Tamandua tetradactyla: one gene and its partner. The protein of the gene in region 1 interacts with the protein of each later gene in a pairwise test. Links are inferred from orthologs where the notes say so. Each region holds a gene or a part of one and is shown on either strand. Other genes may lie near its edges.

What was found.
Region 2: the proteins of UBE2L6 (region 1) and ARIH2 interact in binary tests that used the Homo sapiens proteins (3 or more experiments, as listed by UniProt). The link is inferred for Tamandua tetradactyla from reciprocal best matches to the Homo sapiens genes UBE2L6 and ARIH2.

Annotation. Positions count from the first base shown.
Region 1 is NC_135335.1:20,003,746-20,014,909, forward strand, and holds the start of UBE2L6 (ubiquitin/ISG15-conjugating enzyme E2 L6), read left to right. Parts: upstream 1-6,757; 5' UTR 6,758-6,854; coding exon 6,855-6,881; intron 6,882-9,828; coding exon 9,829-9,924; intron 9,925-11,164. UniProt on the Homo sapiens protein: Catalyzes the covalent attachment of ubiquitin or ISG15 to other proteins. Functions in the E6/E6-AP-induced ubiquitination of p53/TP53. Promotes ubiquitination and subsequent proteasomal degradation of FLT3.
Region 2 is NC_135341.1:37,307,787-37,319,670, forward strand, and holds the start of ARIH2 (E3 ubiquitin-protein ligase ARIH2), read right to left. Parts: upstream 4,962-11,884; 5' UTR 4,806-4,961; intron 2,055-4,805; 5' UTR 1,995-2,054; intron 1-1,994.

The DNA of each region.
Region 1 (11,164 bases):
CCCCATGGTCATTTTTTAGAGCATTTGTATCACTCCAGAAAAAGAAATAAAAAGAAAAAACTCATACATACCATATACTTAACCCCTCCCTCTCATTGACCACTAGTGTTTCCATCCACTCAGTTTATTTTATCCCTTCTTCCCCTATTATTTATTTATTTATTTTTATCCATAGTTTTTACTCACATGTCCATACCCTGGATAAAAGAAGCATCAGACACAAAGTTCCCACAATCACACAGTCATATTGTAAACATTATATATTCATACAATTGTCTCCAAGAATCAAGGTTACTGAAATACAGCCCAACAATTTCAGGTACTTCCCTCTAGCCACTCCAATACACTATAAACTTAGAAGGGATGTCTATAAAATGCATAAGAATAACCACCAGTGTAACCTCTCGGCTCTGTTTGAAATTTCTTAGCCACTAAAACTTTATTTTATTTCTCTCTTCCCCATTTTGGTCAAGAAGGCTTTCTCAGTTTCTTGATGCCGTGATCCTACGTTCTTAATTACTAAGTTTTTTTCTTACTCTTCAATTATTTTTGTCTTTAAAAATTATATTTGCTTATAGTTTTGAGGGGATAGTCATTAGCCTAATATGAAATTCTAAAAGTACAAGATGTGAAAAGTAGGTTTCCTTCCTGCTTCATTCCTAGAGATACCCAGTTTCCCTTCCCACACTAATAACCACTCTTTTAATTTCTTAAGCATGCTTCCAGCTTAGTCTATAACCATGCAAAGATGATTTTCAGAAAAAGGTAAAATCTTGACTCTTATACAGATATAAAGTAAGCATGTGTTAAAGATTTTTTTCTACTCATTAACTGATGAGAGGGAACCAGATGTTATCATCAATTCAAAAGAGTGTCCAAAAGCAGACACATTTATAGATCAGGAATATTGAAGTGAATATGTAAACAAAGGCAAAACTTTATTTCAGAGAGTGGGATTGGGGAGGGTGTGTCAGTTTGAAACTGTCATGTGCCCCAGAAAAACCATGCTCTTTAATCATCATTCAATATTGCTGGGTGGGAACTTTTTTATTGTTTCCCTGGCGATGTAGCCCATCCAACTATGGGCGGTAACTTTTGATTAGATGGTTTCCATGGAGAGGTGTCTCCACCCATTCAAGGTGGGGTTGCTTACTGGAGCCCTTTAAAGGGTACCATTTTGGAAAAACCTTGCGGGCAAACAGAGCCCACAAAGCAAGAGACCTTTGGAAATGCAGAAGGAAAACACTCCCAGGGAAGCGTTAAGAAATGAGAAGAGAAAGCTAGCACCATCAGTATGTGCCTTACCAGCTGACAGAGGTGTTCTGGACCCATTGGCCCTTTCTTGAATCAAGGTATCTTTCCCTGGATGCCTTAGTTTGGACATCTTCACAGCCTTAAAATTGTAAACCTGCAACTTAGAAGTTCCCTTGGTAAACAGGACTACTGCAGGAAATGGAATGCAGAAGCAGATATGAAAACCCAGCTATCTTCTACCGAGGCATATTTAAAGAGATATTGCAAAAAAAAAAACAAAACAAAACTTTTTTTGGAAAAATATTTCATAAAAACATGTTATTTATTTTATCATGTACTGGGCTTAATATGTTATTTTTAAATGAATTAAATAGCTTTTTTCTACATTAAAAAAAAAAGCCATTCCATTTCCATTATATTGCATTCCAACAGCTTTAACAAACTAAAACTGATTTTGGTATCAGAGAAGTGGGGTGCTGCTGCAGTCTGAATATACCAAACATGTTAGAGCAGCTTGTTAAATGAATAAAGGGAAGATTCTGGCAGAGTTGTGAGGAACTTGATAGAGAAAGCCTAAAATGCTTTGAAGAGACTGTTGGGAGAAATGTGGACTCTAAAGATACCACTGATAAGGACTTAAGCAGAAAGGATGCATTTCCAAATAAAATGCAGGAAGTGCAGCATGTTTTCTCCTTGCAGCTTATAGTGAAATGCAACAGGAAAGAGATAAGTTGAGCACTGAACTCCTGTGTGCAAAGAAAGCTGAAATTGTTATTCTGGAAAATTCTGGGCTTCCAGAAAGGGAGACCCCAGGGAATAGTGACTCACATGAGGATTTAACCAAACATAGAAACAGCCAGCTATTTCAGGACAAGCCAGGATTGGAGCTGGAACTATCCAGGAAGGATCTCTGGAAAATCCTATTGTCTGATAGTCACATTCTCTTCATACGACATAGAAAATCAACAAAAGTGTTGCAGAATCTGCATAAATGGAACCACTGCCAGTCTGGATTAAAAGGGACAGAAAAGGGACAAATTGAAGGAAAAGTAGCCTCAGAGGCAGAACCATGGAAGCTAAGGTTTGAAGACAAGAAATGTCGGGCAAGGAGAGTGGACCCATCTATACACATGGAGAGGGTGAGTTTGCCCCAAAGGCAGAGGGTGAGTCTCCCCGCTGGATGCTCTGGAAGAGTTGTCTCCCAGACCTTGGAGAGGGTGGAGCACATTCCTGGGGGACTGGGGAGAGCCTGGCTGCCACCCCATTATCCTGGAAGGGTTGAACGTGTGCCCCAGAGATGGCAGAGAGCCTGGTTGTTGCCTCAATGCTCGGAAAGGGCAGAGCTGAGAAAAAGGTGCTCTCCCCAGTGTCCTTCAAGACTGCAAACCCCACACCAGCGTTTGGAGAGGGTAGAGCTGCTGAGCAGACCCTTGGAAAGAGTGGGGCTCCTGCTTTCTAAAGTTCTGAGGATAAATGACTCTCAGACTTTGAAATCTAATGGAGTTTGCCCTGTAGGTTTCAGAACTGTTTGGGTATGGTGACCCCTGTGTTCCTTCCAATTTCTCCTTATGGAAAAGGAAATATGTATCCTATGAATACCCCTTCTTTGTACATTGGCAGCAGGTAACTTGTTCTGAGTTTTACAGGTCCACAGACAGAGGAGAGTTTTGCCTTAAGACAGACCAGGTCTATAGCTGACTTTGATGAGATTTTGTACCGTTTCTGTATATTGCATTTGTTTATTGTTACTGAAATGGTTTAAGGCTTTGTGCTATTGTGATGGAATGAATGTATTTTGCATTTGGGAAGAACATGCTTTTTGGGGGTCCAAAGAGTGGAATGTGCCGGTTTGGAATTGTCCTGTGCCCCAGAAAAGCCATGTTCTTTAATCCTCATTCGGTATTGCTGTGTGGGATCTTTTTTATTATTCCCATGAAGGTGTGACCCACCCAATTATGGGTGTAACTTTTGATTAGATGGCTTCTGTGGAGCTAAGTCTCCACCCATTCAAGGTGGGGCTGTTTACTGGAGCTCTTTAAGAGGGAAACATTTTAGAAAAAGCTTGAGAGCCAACAGAGCCCACATAGCCAGAGATCTTTGGAAATGAAGTAGGAAAACACCCCCAGGGAAGCCTTATGAAATAAGAAGAGAAAGCTAGCAGACATTGTCATGTGCCTTCCCAGCTGACAGGTGTTCTGGACCTTTCTTGAGTCAAGGCATCTTTCCTTAGATGCTTTAGTTTGGGCATTTTCAAGGAATCAGAACTGTAAACTTGCAACTTAATAAATTCCCTTTTTAAAAGCTGTCCTGTTTCTGGTATATCACATGCCAGCAGCTTTAACAACTAAAACAGAGAGGAAGTCGGTTAAACCTGTACTGGAGAGAAAAGAATTTGCATGTCTACAAGAATTATTTTGCATTGTTATCAGTTGCTAAAATTTACTGATGATAAAAGGAAAACTTTTCATGCAGTTTAGGATCCCACAGCTTTTTGAGCTATTCGTGAATCAAGCAGCACCCCATTCAGAAAGTAAAAGGAAACTCCCCACCCCCAGCTGGCCCCAGGAGATGGAAGGGAGAAACTCTTACTGGGCAGACGAGGAAGCAAGGGAGGAAATATTTGGATTGGCTGGCATTAAGTTTCCATTTTAGGTGGGGTGGAGGGTGTGTTTTTATGAAGTGAGGAGCAGGTGGCTGCTAGGAACCGATTAGCTGGCGATAACTTATCTGCCGTATTTAAATTTGGTTTCCTGGGCAAGCCCAGCGTTTACAGGAAATAGTAAGTAGCTTAAGTTTACTGTTTCGCTAACGTGAGGCTTAGCATGGGTGACTCCGTGTTGGGCCTACAAGATTTTATTTCTCACCAAGTTGTACAAAAGCTCAAAGAAGATGAAATAGCCTGGATAGCCTGAAAGGGTGTGCTGTAAACTGACAAAATCATTTTCCTCCCCAACTGATCACCACTCTATCAGTCACCTCAGTACCCTTCAAGTTTAGTTACATAAACACACAGGTAAGATGTCTACTGTCTATGGTGCATGAAACGTGGTTTTTTTTTTCATGTATTAATATATTTCCTGCCTGTTTTTCAGGTAGTCTCTGAGACTTACTCTAGCTCTGTCATTGAGCCTTTATCTGACCCAGACAGCCCCCTCTGAAAGGAAGTTCCCGCCTCATCTAGGGATAGACAATGCCAACATTCTCTCCCCAACCTCACCCTGTGAAGTCCTTGGAACATCCTGAGTGGGGAAGAGGAGCTGTCATACCTCCTAGGACAGCTTCACGCCTACATCTGCGAAGCCAGAATCATCCCGGAAAACAAAAAATCCTGATCCTGGGGGAGAAAGGAGAGGAGAGTTCTTGAGAGATAAGAAGTTAGCAAGGGCGAGAAACTTCAGAGCAGGCATTCCTTCCAGGAGCCAGGCAGCTAAAAGAGAGGGTGAAGCTGGCCAGGTGGGGATGAATAGGGAGTGGTGAGGACTGCGGCAAAGAGGGCGTGCATACCTGGTATAAAAGGGCAGTCAATGGGGACCCTGGGCTTTGTATTGCCAAGAGTCACATTTTTTTTTTTTTTGCATATTACCATAACACATTTTTTATTAATATTTTTATTGTAAACAACATAAAACATTCTGTGGTGTACAATCAATGGCTAGCAATAGCATCACAAAGTTGTGTATTCATTACCATGATCATTTTTCTGAACATTTGTATCTCTCCAGCAAAAGAAATAAAAGCAAAAAAAGAAACACTTATACATACCATACCCTTTATCCCTCCCTCTCATTAAGCACTAGTATTTCAAACTACTCAATTTAACCTTTGTTCCTCCTAGTTTTTGTTTCTTTTCTTGTTCATATCTTTTACTCATCTGTCCATACCCTAGATAAAAGGAGCATCAGACACAAGGTTTTTGCAATCACGCAGTCACAATGCAAAAAGAAGCCACATTTTAAAACAGAAGCTAGCAATAAAAACTCGAATGTCAACAAGTTTCAGTTTTAAAAAGAATATTTATTTTTCAATTTAAACATTTTTCATTTTCTAAAGGGTAGTCCATTCACATTGTTCAAAAATTTAAAAGGAAATCAGGTTTATTGTAAAAAAGTTTCCTTGCATTCCTATGCAAGTCCCCTGGTTGCCATCCCAAGAAACCTTCACTGCGCCTGTACCTTGTATCTTTCCGGAAATACACACAGAAGCACACATCTAGGCATACACACGCAAAGATTATCTTTCCTTTATTTACACAAATGGTAATATAATTTTCACACCCTGCTATACTTTGTTTTCATCCCTTAAAATATATCTTTAAGGACATTCTCTAGCAGTACATAACCAGCCTCCTCATTCTTGTTTACGGCTGCCTAATATTCCTCTGTGTGGCTGTACCATAATTGATTCAACCAGACTCCCTTTGATGGACAGCTGGGCAGAAGTGGGGAGAGGGTGAGGAAGCAGGGCTCATTTCCTCCCAAGAAATCTCTGCGTGTCACCACTTCTAGGAAATTCTTCCCCCCGGACGCTATTAGGTGCTCAGGGCTTACTATTCCAGAACGCCTCGGCTTCAGGTTGGGGAAAGGGGTCTCTGCGCTTGCATAAAGGGAAGGAGACTCCTAGCTGAGTATGGGGGTGCATAGTAGGCTGAAGTTGTGGAGGCACCAGCAAGAAAAGAAGGGAGGCAGCCTTCCCTCTGGGGGGAAACTCCTGAAGTTTGTCTCGGGGTTCCCTCCACCCACCTGTTTTCCAAACCGACATGTATTGGCACTTACGATATACATGAAGCCTAGTAAAGGACCAAATAAATGGACGGCCCAACCCCCAAAGCGAGAGAAAACTGAGCCAAACAGCGCCCCCTTATGGTGTCTGGGAGCAGCGTCCTTGCAGTTTCTCCGCCAGCTACTGGTCAGCAAGTGAGAGTCCAAGGCTGCTGGGGGAAGGGCCCTTGGAGGGCACCTAGTCTACGCGGCCCCCCATCTACTTTTAGGGACAAGGCACTGGACTCGGAGAGGGGACACAACTTGTCCATGGGGGTTCGGGCATTCGCCAGGGGCGGCGACTTTTGATGGGCAGGGGCCGTCCGGAGACCTGCCGCGGAGCTGGCCTGCGCAGCGACCACCCTTGTCTTTGCTCAGGACGAGAGTGTATTGGGGGTAGGGGTTGAGAGGTCGATGCAGAGGCGCTCCCGGCGCCGGCCCCGGCGGAGGAGCTGGGACCCGCACCCGGCTGGGCGGACCCCAGCCCCGCGCCCCCGCTGCCCGGTGCACGGAGCCGCCCCACCCCCGCACCCCCAGCGACACCCGGACACAAGGTCCCGCCGCGCGCTCCCAGGCCCGCCGGACAAAGAGCGGGAGTTCCCGGGACCCGAGCCCGCCGCGCCGGGGCCGGGTGCGCCCCCTCGGCAGCCTCCCCGCAGCTCCGCGGAGTCCGCGCACCGCCCCCGCGTGGGTGCGCGGGGCGGGGGTGGAGGGGGGGGTGGAGCGAAGCGTGGGCGGGGCTCGGGGAGGAGGAGTTCGCCCCACCCCGGCCGCGCGCTTCCAGACCGCCCGCCGGTGCACTGTGCAGCTGGACTCCGCCGGAGCCTCACACTCGGTCCTGAGATGACAGCGAGCAAGCGGGTGGCGAAGGTAACGCCCAACGGGATGACCCCCTTTTCCCGCGGCCGCCCGGTTCCCTCCGCGCTCTCTCTCTCCCTACCCCGGCTCTCCCGGTGCATTTTTGTCTGGATACCAGGGTTGGCTGAATCTGCTATCCCCGCCTCCCTCCCCAGTGGAGGAGTGCGTCTGCGAGAGGGGGCTAGAGGTGGGGGTGGGGGGTGGGCCATGCGGAGCGGGGCTGTCGCTCTCCCCCCCGCCGAGCTTTGCTGAGAGTGCGAACGAGCCCACTGCAGGCTATCCCGATGCTGCTTTCAGTTTCACTTCCCCTGCCAGAAACTTGAGGGAACAATTGCAGCCAGGGTTCCTTGGCGACTTCCTGGTGTCATGCACTCTTCTGGCGGAAAAAGAGGGTTATGAGCAGAGAATAAAAGGGGACAAGGTCCTCGCCTTCGAGTAACAGCCTGTGGCCGCCCCTAGGTTGTTACCTTTCTTATTAAAGTCCAAGGAAACGTAAGATGTTGACTCCGAGTTTCGGGCCGCATTCCCCGAGCCTTCTCGGGAGGAAAAGATGCCAAGGTGACCTCGGAGGTCTCCTGGAGATGGTGGTGTGCATTCATTCATTCGTTCCACCAATGTTGTTGAATGCCTCTTATGGGTCATCTCATCGGAGGATGGGAGGCAGAGGTGAAGGAGCTGGCACAAATCTTTGCTCTGGCTGAGCTTTCATTCTAATCAGGTACACAATTTGCCATGTGTTCTGGAAGGATAGGGGGCCGGGGCACGAGCTGGAGAAGGCCAGCTCGAGTGGGGAACTGGACTGTAGATAGATGGGGGAGGAAAAGCAATCCTGGTGAAGTAAGGCTGCCCATCCCACAGCCTTTGTGTCTCTCAGAAGTGTCCTCTAGTCCTTAGAGTAGAGGGACAGGCTTGAGGGGGTAAAGGAGGGAACCTTGGAGAAGATGCTGTCTGAATGGGGCTCTGAGAGCAGGCTCAGCCTGGAAGAACTGAACTCCCAAGGTAGGCTGGAGGTTGGCTGGAGAATTCTTGCAGCCGAGTGCTAAAGAGATGGGAACCAGTGTTTGTTACACTGGCAGTTCAGGTCGGTTATTTCTTCTCATTCTCACGGCCAGCAGGTGGGATAAGCAATAGCACCCCATTTTGCAGATGGGGAAATGAGGCTCAGAGAGAGTAAGTTGCTTGTTCACTATCACCCGGTAAGGAAGTGATGGGGCTGGGAGTTGAGCTGCCGGCTCTTTGAGTGACTTCTGTACTTTCATTTTCTCTTTCTGTAAATCAGGTGATTTTCTGAACTGGCTTCAGGAAAAAATTGTGTGTCCTAGCTTGGTTGCAACATTTTCTGGGAAAATTTGGCAGAACTCATAACACATCAATTCCTGAATGTTCCCAGTTAAAGTCAGGAAAATGTCCATTCCAGAGCTTTTCTTTTTTAACTTGAGCTTCAAGACACTCAATGAGAACTTGTAGTAGCAAATTCTCCTTCTAGTTTGGGGTGAAAGATAAATGATGTTTATGCAGAAGGCACCAGGAGCAGTTGGTTGGTATGACGAGAGACAGAGGATGGGCTAAAAGATAGAAGGGAGGGGGACAGAGAAAATTCAGACGGATCACGGGGTTAAAGGACTCTTCCCCAACTTTGGGCTGCGTTTGGGAGCTCTCTGCCAGTCTCAGTCCCATCAGTATTGACATTTGGACCAAATAATTTTTCACCGGAGTAGACTGGCCTGTGTATTGTAGGACGTTATGCACACAGGGTGCCAGTAGCACCCCCCCCCCATTATAACAATCAAAAATATGTCCAGACATTGGCAGATGGCCCCTGGAGGGCAGGGGACAAAACTGCTGGTTTATACCAACTAGGTATACCAAAGAAATAAGACCTGCTTTTGATTAATTTTCATCTTTTTTTTTTTAAGTCTCTGTAGTTGCACGGAATGGACCCCAAAAAGGTTCCTTGGTTAAATATGTTTGAGAGGTATTGCATGTGAAGGGCTCACATCATAACCCACAATAAAGGCTCTGGGAAACCCTGCAGTAAAGAAACTGGTTTAGCCCAGTGTTTCCCAAACTTATATACCTATGGGACTCTTTTCCTGTAGTAACTATTACCCTTCCATGGGGTGCAGTGTACACATTTGTCCTAACTGGTCCCTTTGCTCTGGTACCCTTCCTCTTCTCTGCATGAAACTCCTATTTAATCTGCAGGACCCAGCTCACAACGTGCAGCCTCTGTGATACCTCCCAGCTTTCCTCATCTCTCCTTCCCCATTTCATGTTACCATGTAATCACATTCATGTTTCCTGCATTCTTCCATGGAACTTCTTGAGGACTGGGCTCTGTCTTAGACGAGTGTCAGTAGAGGATGCTCAGTAAATGATTGTTGAGAGAATTCACGGATATCCAGATGATTGGGTCACATTTCGGGGGCAAATTCACTCCTTGCCCCCATGTTCCTCAGCTTGGCATGTAGAGTTCTCCTCTGCTGTGGTCTGCCTGAGTCATTTTCCTTCCTCAGGTGTATTCAGGTGGAGTTTTTGCTGCATAAATCTGCCATAAGCACCATCCACTCATGTCCTGTGGGGCACTCAGCAGATGCTAATGGAAGGGTGGGTGGTGGGGGAGTTGGGACCTAGTGATTTTCTAGGAAGAGGGCAAGAGGTACAGGTGAAGTACCTTGGTTTTAGGAGAAAGGGTTCCTGAGAGAGCTTTATCCCACGTTGTAATATCTGAGAGAAGTTATGTACATCTTCCCTGCACCTCATACTTACAGAGCTGTGGTGAGGCTGAAATCAAAGAATTCTCACCAAGTACTTAGCGCCAGGCCTGACACATACTCAAAACAGGGGCCTACTTTTGCTGGCTTCTGCTGTCCACTGTGTCATGTTGTGCTGGGGCCAGGGAAGGGGACGGAAGTAGGGAAGACTAGGCCAACTGTCCATTCGCTGTGCCCCCCTGCAGGAACTGGAGGACCTTCAGAAGACACCTCCCCGGTATGTGCGGGACCTGTTCAGCGATGACGCCAATGTCTTGGTGTGGCACATGCTTCTCCTGCCCGTGAGTGTCCATGGGGATCGCAGCTTTGGACTGGGGGAGGCTTAGCCCATGGGCACGGGTGGGCGGGGAGGGTTAGGGCTGGGCAGGGACCGTCTCTCCCTTAGTGTCCTTTCACTGGAAATGCTCCTTGGCGGAGGGGTCTCCATCTGAATGGATTGCTTCTGAGATCCAAGCAGACTGATGAAGAGGCTAAAAGGCCTTTGGACTTAGTGGGAGGTACTTTCTTCCAAGCTGCAGCCACCAAGTCCATCACAGAAACTGGCACCCCTTCCACAAACAACACCAAAAAGAAAAAAAGAGAAAATCTCCTGGACTTTTGTCAAAGGGTAGGGGGGTAGGCTCCAAGTGTCCATGGTTGGTAGAATTTGCTCCCCCCAAAACCAAAATGTGTTTTCTTCTTTTAAAAAATATAATTTATTTTGAAATAATTTGATGTTTGCAGGACAGCTGCCAAAATAATAGAAACCTCATACAGAGAAGTACAACATACCCCACCTCTGAATACCCACACCAGTTTAGCATTTTGCCGTGTTTGCCATTTCAGTCTCTCTGACCATCTAACCATCAATCTATTTACCTATCTGCCTGTCTATTTATTTTCCAAACATTTAAGAGTAGATCGCACACATCTTGCTCCTTGAACATATAATACTTCCATGTGTATTTCCTAAGAACAAGGATATTCAGTTGTTTTTTCCATCATTCAACAGCTATTTTTTTTTTAATTGAGCAGTTGTAGGTTTACAGAAAAAATCACACAGAAAGTAGAGTTCCCATTTAAAATGAACATTTTGCATTAGTGAGGTACGTTTGCCACAATTTGGTAAGACAATTATTAACTGTAGCTCATAGTTTACATTAGGGTTCACTCTGTGTTGCACAGTTCTGTGTTGTTTTTTCTGGCAACTTATATACAACCTAAAATGTCTCATTTTATCTACTATCAAATATACAATTCAGTGGTGTTAATTACTTTTCACAGAGTTGTGCCGCCATCATCATCCATTGCCAAAGCTTTTCCATCACCCCGAACAGGAGCTCTGTACCAATTAAACATTAATTCTCCATTCCCCACCCCACCCAGCTCCTGGTAACCTGTATTCTAGTTTGACTTTATGAATTTGCATATTCCACTTATTTTGTTAAAGTGCGATCATATGATATTTACCCGTGTTTTGAATCTGACTTGTTTCACTCAACATTTTTTCAAGGTTCTTCAAGGTTCATCCATTAGAACTTT
Region 2 (11,884 bases), on another chromosome or scaffold:
TGAGTAAAACATATGGAATAAAAATAAATAATAGGAGGAACAAATGTTAAAATAAATTTAGATTGCAATGCTAGTGATCAATGAAAGAGAGAGGTAAGGGATATGATATGCATGAATTTTTTTCTGTTGTCTTTTAATTTCTTTTTCTGAATTGATGCAAATGTTCCAAGAAATGATCATGATGATGAATATGCAACTATGTGATGATTTTGTGAATTACTGATAAATATGTAGAACAGAATGATAAGTTAAGAATGTTTGCGTTTGTTTGTTATATATATATTTTTAATTTAAAAATTAATTAAAAAAAGAAAAAATTAATCTTGTTAATCAAGGCCCACTGCGTGGTGAACCAGCACATCAATGGGGATATAGTTCCTTCCCACTATAATACATACGACAACAAAAAAAAACAGTGCTTCATAGACATCAATCTCAGATATCCGAGGGGTAAGTGCAGTTAGTAAAGAAAAATAAAAGCCACCTAACCTTTCTGAGTTGCAATTAATATTTTCCTCTAGTTTGCAAAGTTGACTGATTTGAATTTTCAGTTTCAAAGGCTTCTACCTTCAGAGTTACCCTTTAAAAATACTTAGAGGCAAAAAAAACTGACCCATTAGTGAAGGAAAAATATAGATAGTATATGTTAGCAGGATCAAGGCTAGAGAAAACTAGAATCTATTTAGGATGAAGAAACAAAGAGTTCAAACTGAACTAACTACTGAAAAATCGTCCCAGATCAAAATGTTACTCAATTACTATAAATGCAAAGAGAACAATAAAAAAAGCAAAACAGTCCTAACTTTGTTTCAGAAAAGATTTTGGCAAATACCCATTAATTTTTCTGTATACATAGTCTTTCAAGTGATCATTTGCATGGAATCATATTAACTAGTGATTTAAATCTAAAAGGTAATAGTATCTTAAAAGGCAAGAACATTTAGACTCAGTGTTACATATAAACAATTGACATAAACAAATCTGGATAAAATGAGAAGTAAATGCTGTCTATTTAAGGTAGAGAATCTTTTTTTAAAAAAAAAACAACCATAACATAAAGATTAAGAATAAATGGGAGGTGCACAGATGGTTCAGTGGGAAAATGCTCGCCTGCCATGTAGGAGACCTGGGTTCAATTCCTCTCCATGCAATCCCCCCACCCCAAAAAAGAATGATACTAAAATCATTTAGAGCCACTTTTTATACTATTAAAATATCAGTAGATCTAAGTTTAATATATAAATTATAAATGCTCAAAAAAAACCACATTAATGATAGGGCAGAATTATTAGCACACAACGCAGCAATTCCACTCCTAGGTATACTTATATACCCAGAATTGAAAGCAGGGACTCAGATAAAAATTTGTACATCAATGTATACTGCAGAGTTATTCATAATGGCCAAAAGGTAGAAGTTGCACAAGTGTCCTTCAACAGATGAATGGATAAACAAAATGTGGTATATCCCTAAAATAAAATATTATTCAGCTGTAAAAAGAAGAGAAGCACTGGTATATGCTACAACATGGATGAACCTTGAAGACATCATGTCAATTGAAATAAGCCAGACAGACACAAAAGGACAAAATTGTATAGTTTCCCTACTATGAAATACTTAGAATAGGCAAATTCATAGAGACAGAAAGCAGAATAGTGGTTACCAGAGGTAGGGGTAAGGAGCAATGGGCAGTTATTGCTAAATAAGGATGAGTTTTGATATGGAATGATAAAAATAGTCCGGAAATAGTGGTGAAAGTTATACAGTATTGTTAACATACTTAAAGTCAAAGAATTGTTCACTTAGAATGGTTAAAATGACTTAAGTATATTTCACCACAGTAAAAAATAAATTATATTGAAATTTAAATATATATAATATTGGCAGTTTGACCTTTAACAAATTATTCCAGATGGCACAATCACCTAATCACAACTGAACTATGGTATTTTTTCATTAACAGAAGAGATCATCTTTGAACTACAAATACCTACAGTTCTTGAAGATCTGTTAAAAAGACATCACCCAAATAATCGGTGTCATATGATTTCCATCTAAAATGAAAAGAGAGAATCATATTTATAATTGGTACCTTGGTTTGTAAATTTATTTTTAAAAAAGCAAAAACATTTAAAAGTACAGTAACAAAGGGCCAAAGAGACTACTGAAGTCATTATTTTCTTAAATCCCAACAAATCCAGGTCATAATGATATTGACAAGAATTACACTACCTTCTAAAAAAATAAAATATTCAAAATAAGCAGCTGACAATAAGTTAACCTGCGATACTGCTGTCAGAAATAGATACCTAATTTCTTCTGGCTTGAAAGCCTACCTCCTTGCTCCTACATTTCTATTTTTCAGATTCTCTCAATTAACTAATATAATCTCAATCCTAAATGTTGATAGAAGTAGGCAAGGCATTTGATTTTTTTCAGGGGAAGTTATAACTGATTTAAAATTGTACTTTTACTGTAAAGTCACCCACTGTGGTACTCTAATACAGAGTACTGCTAATATTTCAGAGCTCAGTTTACTCATGAAAACTGTTTTCCAAAGGAAAAAAAAAAAAGGGAGTACATGGGTGGTTCAGTGGTAGAATGCTCTCACCTTCCATTGCAGGAGCTACCAGGTTCAATTCCTGGACAATGTACCCCCCCAAAAAAAGTTCCCAATAAGATACACACTATGCAATATTAACACCCATTACCTACCTTTCTTCTGACAAGCTCCAGGGCCAGCTGACTTCCCCATAGATATAGATCCCACTATCAAAGACTAAATAAATCTACCTGTTGCTTATTCAATTACAAATTTTATTTCTACTACTTTATCCTTTAGGATTTCTGAGAAAATCAAAGTTTACAATTTGCAAAGAAATACTTCACGCAAAGACAAGCAAATATAAACTAAATGAAAAAATCAATCTGAACAACGACTGTAAAAGATTAATTTTTATCTGTTTATACAAAAATAGAGGACATGCAACCGATCTTTTCACCCTCTTTTCTTTTACCTGTAACTTTCAACCAAGATACTAGCTCTAGGGAAAAAGAATCCATAAATATTGTTCCTGCCCATAAAAAGCATTACCTCTAATAGCTCTCACTTAATGAGAGCCAATTTCAACTCAGACTTATTCTATCTTCCAACCATACAAAGTGGCTATCATCCCCTTCTTACAAATGAGAAAGCTATAGTTCAGAAAAGATTAAGTAATTTGCAGAGGATTACACGGTTGGCAACTGCCCAGCATCCTCTACCAAACCAATGAGCTATGGGGTTTCATAACTCCCCACCACTCTTCCAGAGAAGATGATACTGTCCACAAAGGTACCAAAAGACCCTCCAGAATCACACCAACAAAAGCACATGCTTTTTACATTCTCAGGGCTTCTCCCCAGCATCTGGGTTTAGGAGTTACCCACAAGTTTCTCAACAAACATTCAAAAGGATGAAAAAACTTCCCAGGAAAAAAAGAGAACTCCATTTTATAGTTATTGGGCATTCTAGGTTCAGATCTAAATAAAAACTTTTCTCATCCTTTCAAAGTTAAATATCCGTATTCTATTTTAAGAAAAGCTAACCTTCTGATCTTACTCAGTACATTATTTCCTTATTAACAGAACTGATGACAAAGCTTTGATTTCTTTGTAGTCCTTAAATATTCCTACATCCCGGATAGAAAAAAAACTAACAGAAATTACTTTCCTCCAAAGCCAAAGTCAAGTGTTCAGAAGACCCACCCTAGGCTTTCTCACCAGGCCAGGCCCCACCAAGGAAGGAAAGGATCCAAACTGAAAACTTCTCAGTTTCAAGGTGACAGAGAAAAAAACCACAGACTTCTGGTGAATATGACGATGCTTGTTCCTGATATTTTATTCAGCACTTACTGGTATTTTACTAAGTCTACATCTCTAAAGAAAACTACTTGGCACAAAAATATCGGCAACTTAGTTTCAAAACCCTAGTCTATATCTGCACCGTGCAATACACTAGGCACTAACCTCATGTGATTATTCAAATTTAACTTAATTTAAAAACAAAATCTAAATATAAATTTAATTCCTCAGTTGCACCAGCCACATATCAAATACTCAATGAACTCACGTGTCACTAGAGGCTACAGTACTGGACAGCAAAAGAATGGAACAAGTCCATCATCGCAAAAAGTTCTATGGGACAGAGCAACACTGAGTAGAAGGGAAGTCATCCGAGAACACAGTTGACTCCCGCGTGGCTTGCCCCGCAGCATCCAGCGAGACTGCGGCGCTGCTACAGGGCCACAAGTCCCTTGCGAGGCGCCGCGGTCGCTGGGATATTCGAGCGGACGCGATTGTTCTCGCGCTAGGGGGGGAACCCTTTACGGGGGCGGGGGGAGGGTATGTTAAAAACAAAACGCGCCGGCAGCACTGCAAAAGCTCCCATGAAGACTTGAGTAAAGCCCCCCGGACGTGGCGCGTTTCCTCGGCGCTCACAGCGGGGAAGGCCAAGATGCGCTCGTGCCAGTTCGTCAGAGCCGCTGGCCTCCGACGACTCCGGGAACTGAGGCGACGGCGGGAGAAGGAAGGGCGAAAAGGTGCCGGGTGACTGCCCGCTCCGGCCGTAGCCTTTTACCGCCTTTTCTCTACACTCCGGCCCCTCGGCCGGCGGCGGGGGGGCGTCCAGACCACGTACGATGGGCGGGAAGCGCCAAGGCCTCGCGGGCGGCGGCGAAGGCGGAGTCCGGGCCCGGCCGGGAACCGCGCGGGGAGTCTTCCTCCCGCCCAAGTAAACAAGGCCTCGACACGTGCCGCGCACTTACCGGGAGCCACAGCCCAGCAACTGCTGAGCCGAGGCGGGCCAGGCCAGGTCGTCCAGGCCAGAGAGGTCGGGTGGAGAACCTGCGGCGGCGGAAGCAGCGAGTCGACGCCAGCCAGGGTCCGCGCCGCTTCCTCCGGCTGACCCGTCCCTGCAGCTCCGGAAGTACTCGGCGCTGCTGCGTCACTTCCGGCCCGAGGTCGCCCCGCGGTCGCCTTGGGTCACCGCAGTCGCGGGGTGTGAGGGGTACTCGGCCTTGCTATCGGTACAGCCGGTCGCTCAGACCCAAAGTCTGGCCGCAGGACATAGTGGAGGGTTCGGTTTACCGAGGGATGTTCAAAGTCATCGCTTTCCGCGTGCGCCCACCAGTCCTGCCTCCTTGGGATAATTTTAACCAGCGTTTTTCTGACCATGTGAGTACTTAGGTGTCGGGCACGGGCACAGTATCTGGTTTCTGTGCAGTGGATAGAGGGCCGTTGTTTCCCAGCTGCTCTGGTCGAGAGGAGACCTGAATCTTTGAGTCTGCGTAGCCGAATTGGAAATCAACGCCTGCGCGTGGAGGCTGTGTTCTCGTGGCCCGGGAATCTCTGGGCTTTCGCTTTTTCTGCCTTTGCTTTATTCGCCGCCCAGTGCTGCTTCTCATTCACCATACAAGATTGAATCATAACTTCTTTGCTGCACACTTTCTTCTAGCTGTCCAACGTTTCTCACAATGTAGGAACTATCATTATGACTTCCAAAACCTTCTGAGACTTGTCGCCAAGTGTTAGGATTAGGTAGAGCCACGGAGACGCACCCAAGTTGCATCTGCACGACAGTGAAAACGCCTGCGTGAAGCCGATATTGGTAGGGAACCTCCCTGGCTATGCAAATCCATAGACAACAAGCCCACCCATTTCCACTAATGCGAACGGTGAATGTGCAGACAAATCAAGATATGTAAATGTGTAAGAGGCTCTTATTTCCTGCAAGAACTACATGATTTTCAGCTTCAAGTTTAATTCAGAACACGTATCGAAATCAGTGTAACTACTAAAAAAAACACCCAATTAATTTGTAGTGAAAATAATAATTTGTTGTGGGGGTATCAGTTTTGTACATTAGCAACATAAAAGTCTCCACCATGATCCAGAGTACTTGTTTCCTTTGTTTTAACAAAATATATCCATTTGAATTATTTATAATGTAGCAAAAGACCCGAAATATATTTTCTTTTAATGAAATTTCAAATCGAAGCTCTCACTTTGGGTTACTGGTAATAAGTTCTCTTCAATTAATAGAAGGGAAACAGTCGATCTTTCTGTGGAATTATTGCATTAGCAAAATAGGGAATGAGGAGCTCACATAATTGAATACATGCAAGCATGTACAGTGTGTTGGAACCCTTAAACTTTGTATTATCCTCATTTGTTCTCCTGTCTTTCTCCTGCTAACGGGTGATTTTCTTCATGGCATAGCTCCAACCTTGTTTTTTATTTTTATCTTATTAAATAAATATCTATTGGCATGCTGATGATCGTATTGTTTTTCACTAGTGGCAGCTTCTTCTCTGGAAATGATTTTAAAATTAAGCAAAAAATTAAGGATATGATTAAACACAACTGCATATATGTGTGCTTTGGAATGCTGTTTCTATCAGTAAAAAGTTTGCAGCATCCCAACCTCAAAGAGTAGAGACTTTGTTAAATCAATTATGGTAAAATATTCGATGAGGAAAGCCATTAAAAATGATGCTCTTCTAAGGCATCTATTGAAAAGGAAAGGTATTTGTGCTATATTCTTAAGGGATAAGAATAAAATACAAATATGTTTGATATTCCATTTTCAAGATATATAGATGAATTAGAATACATATAAAATGAAACATGTCTTGGTTTTTGTGGGACTGGAATTCAATCGGTCTGCAGTGGAAACCATGTATTTCTGCTCCATAATCTATGGGGCCTCAGTATTAAGACTCAAAAGCTGGGGTGCTTGAGTGGTTCGGTGGTAGAATGCTCACCTCCCACGCAGGAGACCTGGCTTTGATTCCCAGCCCTTGCACCACCACCATCACAACCCCTGCAAAAAAAGACTCAAAGGCTGGGGGCTGGGGTCGTCTGAAGGATTATTATTCATGCATCTGTTGGTTCATGGTGGCTGTCACCTGGGATCCTAGCTGAGGCTGTTAGCCCAATCACCCACACCCACATCCACATGATTTGTGATCACCCCACAAATCATGATCTCCATTTGTCCTAGGCTTTATAACATGGTGGCTGGGTTCCAAAGGCAAATGTCTTGAGAGAGGCAGGTGGAAATTATGTCACTTTTTATGACCTAGCCTTGGAAGTCACACAGCACCATTTCCACTATGTTCTATTGGTCAAACCGATTAGAAAGGATCTTCCTTTTTAGGTCAAGGGAGGGGAATACATCCTTCCCCTCAATGGAGAAATATCAACATCATGTTGTAAGAAAAGCATAGGAGATGGATATGTGTTGATGCAATCATCTTTGTAAATATAATCTGTCATGTTAGCATATATTGCTCTTGGGTATGTGTATTCCATCTTAAGCCTTTATTGGTTTTAATAACCAATATACTTGATACATTCAACATATAAGAATTTAAAATAGTATAAATGTATTGTAATACAAAAGTAATATGGGCTGCCGCGGGTTCGCTGTGAGAGGAAGGGCCTAGACCGGGCCTGCCGCGACCTCTCGCCGGCGGCATGGAGGACGAAGTGGTGCACATCGCCAAGAAGATGGACAAGATGGTGCAGAAGAAAAACGCGGCTGGAGCATTGGATTTGCTGAAAGAGCTTAAGAATATTCCCATGACTCTGGAATTATTATAGTCCACAAGAATCGGAATGTCAGTTAATGCTATTCGCAAGCAGAGTACAGATGAAGAAGTTACATCCTTAGCAAAGTCTCTCATCAAATCCTGGAAAAAATTACTAGATGGACCATCAACTGATAAAGACTCTGAAGAAAAGAAAAAAGAACCTGCCATGACATCGCAGAATAGCCCTGATGCAAGAGAAGAAAGTAGCTCCAGTGGCAGCGTAAGCAGCAGAAAGGATGAGACAAATGCTCGAGATACTTATGTTTCATCTTTTCCTCCGGCACCAAGCACTTCTGATTCTGTACGGTTAAAGTGTAGAGAGATGCTTGCTGCAGCTCTCCGAACAGGAGACGACTACATTGCTATTGGAGCTGATGAGAAAGAATTAGGATCTCAAATTGAAGAAGCTATATATCAAGAAATAAGGAATACAGACATGAAATACAAAAATAGAGTACGCAGTAGGATATCAAATCTTAAGGATGCAAAGAATCCAAATTTAAGGAAAAATGTACTGTGTGGGAATATTCCTCCTGACTTATTTGCTAGAATGACAGCAGAGGAAATGGCTAGCGATGAGCTCAAAGAGATGCGGAAAAACTTGACCAAAGAAGCCATCAGAGAGCATCAAATGGCCAAAACGGGTGGAACCCAGACTGACTTGTTCACATGTGGCAAATATAAAAAGAAGAACTGTACTTGCACACAGGTACAAACCCGTAGTGCTGATGAACCAATGACAACATTTGTTGTCTGTAATGAATGTGGAAATCGATGGAAGTTCTGCTGAGTTGAGAGAATTGGCAAGATGTCTGGACCATTAAGAAAATGGATTTTGTAATTAGTTTTAAAACTCTGCCAAGCAACTAGTTTTCTGACAAATCAGATTTTTAAAGCAGCATACATCCCTTGGGTTAGTCTGTTTTTGACTTAACTTCCCTTCCTTAAACACCTTCTATGTTCAAATAGCAGTAGGGAGACCATATAATAATTGTATGGTATCTGTTTCAGAATATTTCTTTCATTTTTATAAGTAAGTTGATATTAAACTTTTATCAGTTAAACTTTTGGCACTCGATTTCTTCTTTTCTTGTTAAAGAAAAATATACCTTATCTTTTTTACAGTCTGAAACATTACACTAAAAATGTTATTCTTCTCTTTATACATAAGTGGAAATTAGATTATTTCCATATTGGCATGTACCTGCAAATATTAGAGAAGAAGAAAAGGTAATATGATTTTAGGTTTATCAAATATGGTGTGTATTCAAATAGTACTTGACCAGCTTATCTAAATTATATATAATATTTGAACCAGCATATGAATTTGATTTTAATTATTATGTTCTCAAGCATGGGATAATTAGATATTTTGCATCTGTAACTACCATGATCATCATTTCTTGTAATTTCTTGTACATGTACTTGTTCTTAACAGATTTTACTTTTGGTAACTTGACTTTACTTTGTTGAAATTAGTTGGGTTTCGTTGTTTGTTTGCCTGTTTCATTTTGTAATTGATTTTAGTTTTGCAGAAGAACGCTGTCATAGTTTAGTATGGTTTTTTCATAAATCTCTACATAGGCAAAGAATGAAAGCTTTTAACCGTTTTTGTCCTTCATAGGAAGACTTGCTAGGAAGAAAGTGTTATCATCTTACTATAGAGTAGTTAATGTAAACAGTTCAAGATCTGATTTTGATTTGGAGATCCACACTGACCTAGTTTTTTTTCATAAATCCCTGCATAGGCGAAGAATGAAAGCTTTTAACCATTTTTGTCCTTCATGGAAGACTTGCTGGGAAGAAAATGTTAGCATTTTACTATAGAGTAGTTAATGTAAACAGTTCAAGATCTGATTTTGATTTGGAAATCCACACTGACCTAGGAGTAAGCTTAAGGATTGTATAAGCCATTAAAACTGTGGTCTTTCCATATGGAGGTTGATGGAAAATATTTTTGCCCTTAGTTTTATTTGCTGATTTTCTCTTTTACATGTTGTATGAGGTTGAACAGACTGGATATGGGCTGTAGTGCAAGTTGTCTTCTATACAGCTCTTACAGTTAAAATTTTACTTTTTGTTGAGGTGTGTACATTTGTTCTATCAGGTTCCTTGATTGTGCACTTGTTCCAGTGCATCTGAAAGGCCACTGTTAAAAAGGCTACATGTTATCCCACTCAATCTGCATTCTGTCAGATGCTGCTAAAGAGACCTCAGTCCATGCTTGACACTCCCCTCCAATCCCCCTTTTTCCCATTTCTTGTTGCATATCAGTTTGATGTAATATGGAAAATAATATTTGAACATCCACGTTAAGACCCATATTTGTAAGATTTGGCCCCCTTCCACCAGCCCATCTTTACTTTGTGAGTTCACAGATTAACCTATTGCATTGTCACTTAAAAAATATAGTGCATTTTTGGAAAGAGTAAATTTAAGAAAGGAGTAAAGTTATTCCCACTTTTAAATTAAGTCATTCATTTTTAAATTTGTAATTCAATAAAGTTTCTTGTTAAAAACATAAAAAAAAAAAAAAAAGTAATATGAACATCCCCATTACTTCCATTCATTAATCCAGGGTTGTTGCTACTTTCCAGAGTTTGATGCACATCCTTCCAGGACTCTTTCTATGCAGGTACAATGAAGTCCTGTGGATATACTCTATTTCACATAGTTGTGAAAATTGGGGCGATTATATTAATAGAAATAGAATTGGTAAGTCAACTCCTATACTCATCTCCAATTGTGAAGATGGGAGATACTGTAAAATCACCTTTCAAAATAACTTCAGTTCCTTCAGTCTGGCTAAAGGCCAGGCCCAGTATTGTTAGATATAATGGGATCTCTAAAGAGATAACAGTCCCTGTGCTCAAGGAGCTTTGATCTGGTAGGGGTTTCAAAAATTAGTGAAGTAGTTAAATGTGAAATTGCCACTGTGATGAGTGTTGCTCGAGAGAGCTAGGAGGGCTCCATTCTCAGCCTCTGCTCCAACTATACTCACTTCCTAATGATATCATCCAATCCTTTGGTTTTAGTACCTCCCCTACGCTGATGAATTCCCAGTCCTTACGCCCTGTTCTACCCAAATTGCTGGGTAGAACAATTGTCCTTTTAATATATCCATTTAGTGTTATATTGATACTCAAATTTAACATGTCCCAAGCAAAACCAAAGTTTGTCACCAAATGTTGCCATTCCTCCAATGTTTTTCGGTTCCCTAATGCCACCATCTTTCACCATTTACTCGGGCCTCAAATTCAGGAATCATTCATGACTATTTTTTTCCCTTTTAAATTCCACATTCAATTCACACAGTATAGACCAAGCCACTCTTCTGATCTCTGGATGTGAGCAGTAGTCCCTTAACTAGTCTCCCTGCTTCGACTAATGCTCTGCTATATCTGTTCTCTGCATTTTGTCTAGAAGGATCTATTTTTTTAAACTTTTTATTGTTATAACATATATATATTATATATACAAAAAAGCAATAAATTTCAAGGTACATTATAACAAGTTTTATAGAATGGATTTCAGAGTTTGGTATGGGTTACTATTCCACAATTTTATGTTTTTCCTTCTAACTGCTTCAAGACACTAGAGACTAAAACAAATATCAATAGAATGATTCAGCAGTGATACTCGTTTGTTAAATCCTGTCTTCTCTGTTATAACTCCTCCTCCTCCTTTGATGCTTCTCCCTGTCTTTAGGGGTATATAGACTGTGGTAGTTAGATTCAGGTGTCAGCTTGGCTAGGTGAAGGTGCCTGGTTCTATTGCTGTGGACATGAGCCAATGGCACGTGAACTTTATCCGTTGCTGATTTTATCTGCAGTTGGCTAGGAGGAGTGTCTGCTGCAATGTTTGATTTAATTGGCTGGTGCTTAAATGAGAAAGCTCAACTTAGCGCAGCCAAAGCAGCTCAGCATACGTCAGCTCAGCACTCGCAGCTCAGCACTCGCAGCTCAGCCCAGGCCTTTGGAAATGCAGAAAGGAATCACCCTGGGAAAAGTTGTTGGAACCCAGAAGCCTGGGGAGAAGGCCAGCAGAGATCACCCTGTGCCTTCCCACGTAAGAAAGAACCTCAGTTGAAAGCTAGCTGCCTTTCCTCTGAAGAACTATATGTTATGTTAACTAAATAAATCCCCTTTTATTGAAAGCCAGTCAATCTCTGGTGTGTGCATTCCAGCAGCTAGCAAACTAGAACGTGGGCTATACCCATTCTAACTTTTTCATGTAGGAAAGGGGTATCA